Linked DNA regions of Ovis aries. The protein of the gene in region 1 purifies or fractionates together with the protein of each later gene. This does not show direct contact. Links are inferred from orthologs where the notes say so. Each region holds a gene or a part of one and is shown in the gene's direction. Other genes may lie near its edges. The genes, in order: EXOC3, EXOC7 and EXOC6B.

Region 1 (3,749 bases):
CCGGGCGCGGACTTCCTCGACCTGACTCGCTCGGGTCCGGGAATCCCGCCCGGGAGCGCTTCGCCATTAAAAAGGCCGTTAGACACTGTTTTGGTGTCCTGGTCGGTTTTTTTTTTAACCTAACACAAACCTCCTCCAAACTTAACCGTCCTGTTTCTTCACGTTTCTCGTATCTTTCTTACGGTAGCTAGCTGCTTTAAACTTGTGCTCTGATGCTTGGTCTATGTGAGCATGTCTCCACTCCTCCTTCTGTGTCCTTTGCTTTGCTTTTCCTAGTATCACTATGGCATTGCTTGCACTTTCTCCTCATATTTAACAAAGTGTAAGCTACAGTGTAACAAGATCTCCGCTCTCTCAGGACGCTTCAGAGATGTACCTCGCTCCCTTCTTTAGCCCGCCGGGCCAGAGCCTCTCAAGAACTGCTCCTGGTGTCTTCTGCTGAGGGCTTTCAGAGAGAGCTTTCCCACTGAGGAGGGCACCAAACCCAGGTAGGCACAGGCTCCCAGCTCTGTCTTCTTGAGATCCTCTCCTGACCCGGGCACCCCAGCACCTGGGAGACATTGCTTTTTTGGGTTCTGTTGTTTGTTTTCCCTGGTCCACTCGTGCGCTGAAGATGTTTCAAAATGCCTGTACAGTCAGAATTTCAAACACAGTTAGAATCTGTTTACATTCTTCGTTTCTCTAGTGTTCGGTCATTCAGCCGGTCCAACTCTTTGCGGAGAGCCCATGGGGATTCTCCAGGCAGGAATACTGGAGTGGGTTGCCATTTCTTTCTCCAGGGGATCTTCCTGACCCAGCATGGTGCTATATTTTCACAAATTATTAGGGACAGATGAAATCACAGAGGGGTCAGCCCTCAGAGCCAGTCAGGCGCTGAAGTCCTGGCCCTTGCTGAGTGTTCTGCTGTCAGCTGACTGTAGGTCCTGGTTGGCATGGCCGCAGGTAGGGGGCTCCACACCTCCTCCTCCCTGCCCCTGCCTCTGCGACCCAGGCGTTTGCACGCAGATGCTGACGCGGGCGTGTGTGGTGTCTATGGTGCATGTGTGGGTATGGACGTCTGTGTGTGTGCGGTGTGTGCATGTGGTGCGGTGTCTGCATTTGTGTGTGGAGTGTGTGGCATGTCGGTATGTGATATGTGTCTGGGGTGTGTTTATGTGTCTGTCTATGTGTGTGTTTACGTGTGTGTGTGGAGGGGGGGGTGCGTGCGCGCCGCAGCCCCGCTCTAGGTGCCGTGGCCCCATCTGCAGCCGGCCTTCACGGTCACTGAGCCCGCGCGGCCCGGGCCCCGCGTCCGAGCCGCCAGGCCCCGCCCTCCCAGTCTCGAGGCCGGAAGCGGAAGTGCCCGCCGAGCGCTCACTTCCGGGCGGCGGAGGCGGCGGGGGCGACCCGCGAGGTGAGGCTTCGCCGAGCTGTGGCAGCTGCGCGGCGGTGGCGGTCCCCACCCGCCGTCCCTTTCCCCGGCTCCGGCGGGTGCGGGCGCGGCCAGGCGGCGGTGCGGGCGGCCGGGGGGGGGGGTCCCGGGGGCGTCTGAGTCCCGTCGAGAGGCTCGCGTCCTTGACGGGGCCGACTCCGCGTCAGGCCCGGAGGAGGGAGGCGTTGCGGACCTGAGCGCGCGGGCGGCGGCCGGGAGACCCGCGGCCGCCCCGGGCGCCCCGGCCCCGGCGCAGCCCAGGGCCCGGAAATGGGGCGAGGAGACACGGCGCCCCAGCCCAGGTCCGTGAGGGCGCCAGACGCACTCGGGTCCCGCCCCTCAGGGTCTGCGGGGACCTGAGTGTTGCTCCGACAGCGTTTGCGGAGGGAATGGGGAGCGTCCTGGAGATTGGTGCACTGAAAACATGCGTGGAAACGGGCGGCTAACGGCAGATGTCCGCTCTCTCCTTTGCCGGACGCTCCCGAGCTCCCCAGCTCGGATGTTGGTGGAGCCGGCACGAAGGCAGCAGTGCGTTGTCCTGAGGAGAGCGTCGTTTGCCCGCTCACCTGTTTACTAAGGCTGTTAAATAGTAAGATGTGGGATTTGAGACTCTACAGGTAGTGATTTTTGAGGGGAATCGTACGGTGGGTGCTGAAACTTTCGCGGGGATGGTGAGGTGTGTACTGGCCCTGTGCCTCCGCATCTTCCCCGGGGCTTCCTGGCACAGCCGCCCCTCCAGGGAGTTCAGAGCCGGTGTGAAGGCTCTGGAAATGGGAAAGGGGACCTGTCTGGGGGAGAGAAGTGCCCTGGAGACTGCCGTCTGATGTGAGTAATCTGGCCTCCTCCATGTGCTAATATCTTGTGCCTGTAATTGCCCCTGCTCCACTGTAAGGTAAGATTGAATTCTGAAAGTGTATTTCTTATCGAGGAGCTCATAACCCTAGTTCTGGTTTCAGGGTTGCTGGGTTAATGGTCTCAGATGCTCTTCTTATAGCTCTGCTGTGGACAGCTGACTGTTGGTGGAGGGAGTAAGTTTTGTCACTTAACATTTCTACCTTTCTAACACATCCCCCCTCCCTGTTCCCCATCTAGCTGTGGACAGAGGATGCCTCTAATATGACAGGTGCAGACATCCTCCCTGCTTTGTAACCATGAAGGAGACTGACCGGGAGGCTGTCGCAACAGCGGTCCAGAGGGTTGCTGGAATGCTGCAGCGCCCTGACCAGCTGGACAAAGTGGAGCAGTATCGCAGAAGAGAGGCCCGGAAGAAGGCCTCTGTGGAGGCCAGATTAAAGGTACGAGGTCAGAGTGGCCACCAGCACCTGCTGTACTCTCCAGCGGGACAGGGCCTTTTATCTTGAGTTTCAAGTTCTTTAACGAAGTTGTAATTTTGCCAGATTGGACATTGTGAGGATGTGGAAGAAGGCAGACGTGAACATTGCCTTGATTTAGCACATTTTTTCCAATAATGTATTGCCAGTTAGTAGATTGACAAAGTAGGCAGGGGGGTGTTGAAAACACCAAAGAAACAACCCCTTTAAGCATCCAGAAGTGTCCATTTACCTTTTTAAAGAACACTAGCAGAATAACGGTTTTTGTTCTTTAGCAAATGCTCTTCCACCGAGTGTGTCCAGAGAGCATTTTGTTTGGGTCCTTCTAGCACACGCTATAGTATGCTGACTGTGTACCAGGTATTCTGTTGGCCTTCTGGGCAGGAAGGAAGAGAACACTACACATTTATTAGTGTGTGTGAAAATGAGACAAGAAAGAAGTCAATCTTTTATGATTTGGATTGGCTTTCAACATAATTCACATGGAGAAATTGGGTTTTATTAAAACAATGCATGCCTGGTATAGCTATAAAAACATTAAGACCATGGCCTGCTGACTGGCAGCACAACAGTCTTGAGGATTTAAGAGAGTGCATTTGAGGAAGGTTAATTCTCGCATGGACATGGAACAGCAGACTGATTCCAAACAGGAAAAGGAGTACGTCAAGGCTGTATAGTGTCACCCTGCTTATTTAACTTACATGCAGAGTACATCATGCAGAATGTCAGACTGGATGAAACACAAGCTGGAATCAAGATTGCCTGGAGAAATATCAATAACTTCAGATATGCAGATGACACCACCCTTATGGCAGAAAGTGAAGAACTAAAGAGCTTCTTGATGAAAGTGAAAAAGGAGAGTGACAAAGTTGGCTTAAAGCTCAACATTCAGAAAACTAAGATCATGGCATCCAGTCCCATCACTTCATGGCAAATAGATGGGGAAACAGTGGCTGACTTTATTTTTCTGGGCTCCAAAATCACTGCAGATGGTGACTGCAGCCATG
Region 2 (3,749 bases), on another chromosome or scaffold:
GCCTCAACAAAGCTGTGCAGCCACTTACCACCCCAGGGTGAGACCAGAGGCAGGGTGAGCCTCTGCAATGGAGGAGGGAGTAATACTAGGTTTTGCAGGAGCTGTGTCTGTGGTGAATCTAGAACATTCATCCCTGCAGGAACCCTGACCCAGGGCCACCTCCCCACCCCTGGCTGGCCCCTAATTAGAGGAGACTCTGGGCAAAGGAGCTGAGATATTTTGGCCTCTTGCAGGAGGGTCCCTACCAGCCCTCCAGGCCTTTCTGATGTCCTCAGCGGCCCTATGAGAAACGCTCCCCTTGTGTCTGAGCACCAGCAGATAGGCCTCAGCGTCTCCATCACTGAGAACACCACCTGGGTTCTAACCCCTCGGACAGGTCTGGACTTTTTCAGCCTTCCCCTTGCACTGTTTCCAGACCTGGGCAAATACACCGCTGAAGCCACTCGCTACCCGCGGCCTGGCCCTCACCCCCAGCAAATAAAACCATGTCTCTCTTTCCAAAACAGACACCTTAGTGTGGCGCTTGGAGCTTCTCTCTGGTCCCATCCCAGTCCCCGGGATGAGTGCTCCCAGAACCCCTCCTACCCCAGGAATTTGGCCGAGCCCCTCACAAGTCGGGATTGTAGTTATGGATGCCTCTGGGGCCATGGGCGACCATTCTTTGCCCGGGCCAGGGCTTGCACACAGGGCGCATTCCGTGAGAGCTTTTAGGGCCGAAGGGGGACACGACTACATAGGTCCCTCGGTCATTAAATGAGCACACATTAGGCGCCTGCTGTGTGACAAGCTCTGTGCTGTGCTTTGCGGGGGAACACCTCATCTGTGCCTGGATCCAGACAAACGAATTTGTTATTAATCTTTGTGAAAAGAGTCAGCCTTCCCACGAAGACGGCAAGTGAGCTGTAACTGTTGTGCCAGCTGCGGGACAAAACACCCCTAGAGAACCTTCTCTGATGAGTGCGGCAACACGCATCAAGGTGAAACCCGGTGCACCTCCCCGCCACACCCAAGATGGCCACCTGCCGGGTTCCCCTGTCCCTGAGTTCCACGCAGGCGCACTTCCGCCTGCCACTCCCAACATGGCGGCAAACGGGCCCCCGGGAGGGGGCCACGGGCGGAAGTGGGTGTGACAGGGACGGGAGCCGAGAGGGCTCTCTGAAGCCAGACGCTGGGCTGTGGGAGCCGCTCGGCTGTGGGAGCCGCTCGCAGGGAGGGTCGAAGTCATGATTCCCCCGCAGGAGGCGTCCGCCCGGCGGCGGGAGATCGAGGACAAGCTGAAGCAGGTGGGGCTGGGGAGGCGGGGGAGGAGGTGAGGGAAGGGGCCGAGATCCGGGCCGGGCGTCCACTCAGGGAGGGGAGGTAGCAGGAGTGGAGGGGGCCGGGTACCAGGCAATAGGGTCCGGGCGAGGCTGTGGAGCCGGGATGCGGTGGTCTCTGGCTTCTGCTGATGTCCTCCCCTCCCCCTCGCAGGAGGAGGAGACGCTGTCCTTCATCCGAGACAGCCTGGAGAAGAGCGACCAGCTCACCAAGAACATGGTGAGTAACCCCTCGCTGGGAGGGCCTCCAGACGCTGCGACCCAGGGGTTTGGTACCTAAAGCCTGAGGCTTCTGGCCTGGGTGGTGATGGGTGGTAACGTCTGGGTTTCTCTAGCAACAGTGTTACACTTCTTACACCCTTGCCCGCCACTTCGCTGAGGATGCGGCAGCCTCCCCACATTTCTGCTTTCTGCCTAAGTTCTCCATTCTTCTTTCTCTCCTTCCGCAAACATTTAGTGAGACTGACTTAAGTGGGCTGGGTACTGGCCATGGGTCACCCTTAGTTTAAGTGCGGGTATCACGGGTGGGGTTACCACTTCTGAGATTACTGAGGGCAGGAGACTCAGCCGTCACTCTGGAGAGCTGGAGGGGTAAAATGAATCAGAAATCAGATAGATGCGGGATCTAGCCCTTGCCCCTCCACTTATGTGTGTGTGGCTCCTGACAGGTAACGCTGAGCCTCAGTTACCTCCTCTGCTAAAATAGACGATGCCAATCTCCATTGTAGCTGTGAAGGTCATAGAAGCTAATGCATGGAAATGCCTCTTGCACAGTATCTGGTATACAATAGGTACTCAATAAACATGAACTTCCTTTCTTATTCTGAAAAGAGCCTGGAAAACCCAAACTGAGTAGTAGATAGAAAGGTGGGTATGTATTCAGTAACACAGTCATCAGGTGCTAGTCCTTACTTAATGAGATTTAGCCTTAGAGAGAGGGGGTTTGAAGGTACCAGGAATGCTGGTATAGAGTACCTTGAGGCTACTCTATATGAAAGTAGTTCCTGTTCAGTCTAGGAAAGCATCAGGGAGAACATAAGTTGAGATCTGGCTTTAAAGGGTGGAAGGGAAGCCATCCTGAGGTGATTTTCTGAGAAGTTAATGTAATGGTTGCCTCGCCTTCAAATCAAACTTCAGCCAATTTATTTGGGCCACCTCCGATCTGCCAGGCATGTGGTAGATCCTGGGGATACAGTGGGGAATAAGTATACCCTGTCCCTCTCCTCTTGGAGCCTACTGTCTAGAAAACCAGAGAAAAGGCAGCAAATGCGAAGACCTGGCAAGGGGCAGAAGCAGTGCTGGGACAACCCTGAGGCCTGAGAGCACGGGGCTTCCCCCTGTAGGTGTCTATCCTGTCATCCTTTGAAAGTCGCCTTATGAAGCTGGAGAACTCCATCATCCCCGTGCACAAGCAGACGGAGAACCTGCAGCGGCTGCAGGAGAATGTCGAGAAGACCCTGTCCTGTCTGGACCATGTCATCAGCTACTACCACGTGGCCAGTGACACTGAGAAGATCATCAGAGAGGGGTGAGCTCGGACCAGAGGGTCACATTCCTAACGCCTCTTGGACCAGTAGGCTTTGGAAGCGGGGTAGAATATATATGAGCCTAGAGTCCCCTGTGTTAATTCTGTTCACCATTTCCAAATACCATTCCCTTAGTCCTTCCTATTCATCTTCCATCTGCCCGGGCTAATATGGTTCTTCTCCTTTCCAGGCCTACAGGTAGGCTAGAGGAGTATCTGGGAAGCATGGCCAAGATTCAGAAGGCTGTGGAATATTTCCAGGACAATAGCCCAGACAGCCCAGAGCTCAACAAAGTGGTAAGGGGCCAGCAGAGTGATGTGAGAGGTTGGGAGACACCAATCCCTGTCCGGGTCTCATGAGACACTGAACCAGCTAAAAGATAATATAGTCGAATGAAGAGAAGTATATAGTACCATGCACATACTACAGACATTGAAATGTCTGTTTCAGAAATTACAGGTCTACATTTTGATTGCATTTTAATAATTTAGCTAAATTATAAGTTGTTGTTTAGTTGCTGAGTTGTGTCTGACTCTTTTGTGACCCCATGGACTGTAGTCTGCCAGGCTCCTCCGTCCATGGGATTTCCCAAGCAAGAATACTGGAGTGGGTTGCCATTTCCTTCTCCAGGGGATCTTCTCAACCCAGAGATCTCCTGCATCGGCAGGCAGGTTCTTTACCACTGAGCCAGCAGAGAACACACATTACAAGTTACCTATGAAATACAGATTTAACATTTGATTTTTATAAATGCATGGGTATTTTTTATTGTACTGAAAAATAAATAATATAAAAATTACCATTTCTGACCATCTTTAAGGGAACAGTTCAGTGACATTCACATTGTGTAACCATTGCCACCTGGCTACACAGAAAACTGCAGGATCAGTACACTGTCACACTAGTA
Region 3 (3,649 bases), on another chromosome or scaffold:
CTGGTCATCACCTTGTCTATTATGTTCTCATAATTTGTTCTCATCCCCCCTTTTTTTTTTCTCATAGCAAATTGATTAAATGACTCACTACATTAGTTCTTAAACTATTTTCTTACCTACTATTTTGGATAATGATTATTGATATGAACCACATATTATATTCAATAGAATAACATTAGAAGTGGGTAAGATTGGTAGCATTCTCATTTTCTGACCCTACTCTTAAAAGTTGCCAAGAGTTACAGAAGGAGTTATAGGGAAAACTTCATTGACAGTTATATCTAATATATATTAATTCTAATGTTCATCTTTTTATTTTTTTCTGACTGGCTCAAATGTTTTGGTATATATATTTTAATTATTGAGGATAATCACTAGATATTAGGTGGGAATGGAAGATTCTTATATCGTGGTTTTATTTAAATTGTTGTCCAAAGTACAAAATTATCTTTCAGTGCCTAATCTCTCTCATGTTGTTTAAAAAAATCACCTTAAAAAATGAAGCTTTTTTTCTTATTTTGTTTCAGGTATATGGTTTTCCTGTAAATCAGCTTTTTGACATGTTATTAGAAATCAGAGACCAGTATAGTGAAACTTTGCTAAAGAAGTGGTCAGGTATTTTCAGGTGAGAAATTATCTGCAGTTGAGTGTGTGTGGGCATGCATGTTTGTACACTCGTCTTTATAAATACGGGTTTTCGGGTATAATAAGCAACAAGTGTATGTGGCTTATTTTTTTCTAGGTCTGATTCCAATTATGATTGGGAATTCAATTAAGTAGTAATGGTATCCCAAATAAAGTTCCCAAGACATTCAAACTCTGGATATTAGTACATACTGTGCGAGGAGTCCCAAAAATCCCCAGATTTGTTTCATTGAATAAATGGTAAATACCTTGGTTCATACCAACTAGATCACCTTGTGTCATCTTAATTTGATTTTTGATTTTCTCTTTGGGGATCATGCCTAATCTATGTCTCGCTTGTAGGATAGTGGATTTTGAACCCTTTTGAATAATTTAGCTTTTTTAGAACTTTTTTGAAGACTCACTCATGTTATTCCTCATCTTCTTTATTCTCCATATCCAAAGAAGAGACCTATTACAATCTAATATTTGAAGCACATTATTTAAATAGTTACTGCAACATGCATACAACGCTAAGAAAATTATTGTATTACACCTTCTCTTACAAATATTTCCTTGGACATGTTTTCCTCACACATAACTCATGTCAACTCACTTGTTTCTTCATTTAAAGTGATCTTTCTGCTTACTGCAGGACCACTTCTCTAGGTCAACTTACTTTGTTTTCAAGTTCTTATAGCTTTAAGGTATTACATTGTCCCATTAATCTTACTCTTCACATTTTATAAACATATAGCTGATAATTATGTAGTATAACTCATTAGTATATTAATATAAATATTTGTATTTATAAAAAATCCTGTTTGTTAATGATATAATTTTCTTTAGGGGAGATTGTCTTTGAAAATTAGTACCATGATATATCCAAGTGCATGTGATCTGAAACCTTCAGTAAATTTCTTTTTTGATTTTGGTAGTATGGTCTCTGCTCTGCAGAATTCCTAGCCTAGTTAAGGACACAGAACCTTTGGATGAAGAAAAAGTCATTCTTAATGAAGCAGTAGATGAAGTACATGAACATAGTTTGATAAAATAGAAAATCTAGCCTAGAATTAAAGAAAAGTCTTTATTTTTCTTTTTAAGAAAGCATATAAAACCTCTTTGCCTTTTCCAGAGCTCACATTTTTTGTTGTTGCTGCTGCTTCTCATTTGCCTTAAGGCTTCAACATGTTGCCTTGAAATTTTCTGTCTGAGCTGTAAATCTCAAGTACTATGAGGTCATCTTTATATTTGTGTTCCATTTGTTTTAGAATGCAATTTTCCTTTTGTGTTTTTTTTTAAGATGTCCTTACCTAAGACCAAATAGCTGTACTGTAAAAAGAATAGATTAGGGACTAAGAAATGTTTATTATGAAAGTTATTTGTGATCACTCTACTGATGAACCCACCTGTCTTTCCTTTTTTATTTTATCCCTCCCTCCTTTCCTTTCTTCTTTTATTTTCTTTATAGAAACATACTTGATTCTGACAACTACAGTCCTATACCAGTAACAAGTGAAGAGATGTATAAAAAGGTGATAGGACAGTTCCCATTCCAAGATACAGAGCTGGAAAAGGTAAGGAACACTAAAATAAACTTCTCTGATTTGGCATTCTCTTAAAGCTTTCTTTGTATCAGTCTCATTAAAGGCATAATTTCTAACTCAGTGAGTTAGGAATCTAAAACAGCTTCAAAGGATGATTTTTCAGCTTAGAGGAGCAGAAGTTCCTGTTTGGGGAATCAATCAGTAAATGGCTTTGGGGTACTGTCACCTCTGAAGCGTTTAGGAGATTTCTGGCAGGGTTTCCTTTTGACTTACACGTTGAAATATTTGCTTTTCTTATACTTTGAGGACATTGTATCCAACATATACAGTAAAATTTACCTTGCTATATAATTGTATTGGTTTTGACTGTGCTTTGTGGTGGATGTACTACCACAACAATGTTGCAGACAGTTTCATGATTCCTCCAAATTCCCTCATGCTATACCTTCTTAATCAATTACTCCTCAACCCCTAGCTTTTGGCAACCAACTATCATTGCTATCCATCTACTTTTACCTTTTCTGAAAGGCCTTATAAATGGAGTTATATAGTGTGTAACCATTTGAGATTGGCTTCTTTCACTGAAGATGATGCTTTTGAGACTCATCTAAGTTGCACATATCAATAACTCATTCCTTTTTATTGCTGAGTATGTGTCAGAATTTTTTTATTGGGTTTTACAGGATGTTAGAATCATTTACTTAATTTAATCGTATTCTTTTTAGTATTAGAAAACTGTCACAAATATGTTTTTAAAATGTAGAGTTGTTAAGAAGGCAGTTCCTAGTGTGTAAGAAAATCTCTTTCGCATTTTAATTAGTTAGTAGGTATTTTCAATGTATGGTCATTTGTAACTTTCATTAATTCTTGCTTTTACAGCAACCATTCCCAAAAAAGTTTCCATTTTCTGAATTTGTGCCAAAAGTTTACAACCAAATTAAAGAATTTATCTACGCCTGTCTGAAGTTTTCAGAAGATCTTCATCTAAGGTATAGTATGAAATAATGGAGGTGCAGTAGATACTGAGATATACATAAATATTCTGGAATACTTTTGATGTTCCCTTCAGTTCCAAGTTTGAAAGTTGTAATATAAGCCTCGTATGGTATGCCACTGCCCTATTTATATGGTCAGGTAAAAAAAAGGGAAGTTGGAAACTCTTGAATAATTTCTTTTTATATTACTTACTTTATTCTCTACTGTTTCCTTTATAGATTTGCATTTCTAGTGAGAGTTAAACTAGAAAAGAGTAGTATAATATTCTTGTTTTTACATTATATTGATGAAATGTTAAGGCCAGTAGAGGAGTGGCATGTGAAATTCTTGCTGTGATCTTGCTATCCAATGGAATCTCAAGAGCTTTCTCCAGCATCACAGTTTGAAAGCATCAATTCTTTGGTACTAAGCGGTCTTTATGATCCAGTTCTCACATCTGTACATGATATTGGAAAAACCATAGCTTTGAGTATGCAGACCTT

What was found.
Region 2: the proteins of EXOC3 (region 1) and EXOC7 purify together in Homo sapiens (affinity purification with mass spectrometry; 5 studies listed by BioGRID and IntAct, counting the BioPlex papers as one, with this or other methods). This does not show direct contact. The link is inferred for Ovis aries from reciprocal best matches to the Homo sapiens genes EXOC3 and EXOC7.
Region 3: the proteins of EXOC3 (region 1) and EXOC6B purify together in Homo sapiens (affinity purification with mass spectrometry; 3 studies listed by BioGRID and IntAct, counting the BioPlex papers as one, with this or other methods). This does not show direct contact. The link is inferred for Ovis aries from reciprocal best matches to the Homo sapiens genes EXOC3 and EXOC6B.

The regions. Positions count from the first base shown.
Region 1 is NC_056069.1:71,721,407-71,725,155, reverse strand, and holds the start of EXOC3 (exocyst complex component 3), read left to right. Parts: upstream 1-1,347; 5' UTR 1,348-1,470; intron 1,471-2,503; 5' UTR 2,504-2,562; coding exon 2,563-2,706; intron 2,707-3,749. UniProt on the Homo sapiens protein: Component of the exocyst complex involved in the docking of exocytic vesicles with fusion sites on the plasma membrane.
Region 2 is NC_056064.1:54,905,259-54,909,007, forward strand, and holds the start of EXOC7 (exocyst complex component 7), read left to right. Parts: upstream 1-1,157; 5' UTR 1,158-1,223; coding exon 1,224-1,283; intron 1,284-1,470; coding exon 1,471-1,536; intron 1,537-2,659; coding exon 2,660-2,844; intron 2,845-3,032; coding exon 3,033-3,138; intron 3,139-3,749. UniProt on the Homo sapiens protein: Component of the exocyst complex involved in the docking of exocytic vesicles with fusion sites on the plasma membrane.
Region 3 is NC_056056.1:94,435,182-94,438,830, reverse strand, and holds part of EXOC6B (exocyst complex component 6B), read left to right. Parts: intron 1-527; coding exon 528-625; intron 626-2,095; coding exon 2,096-2,201; intron 2,202-3,050; coding exon 3,051-3,160; intron 3,161-3,649. UniProt on the Homo sapiens protein: Component of the exocyst complex involved in the docking of exocytic vesicles with fusion sites on the plasma membrane.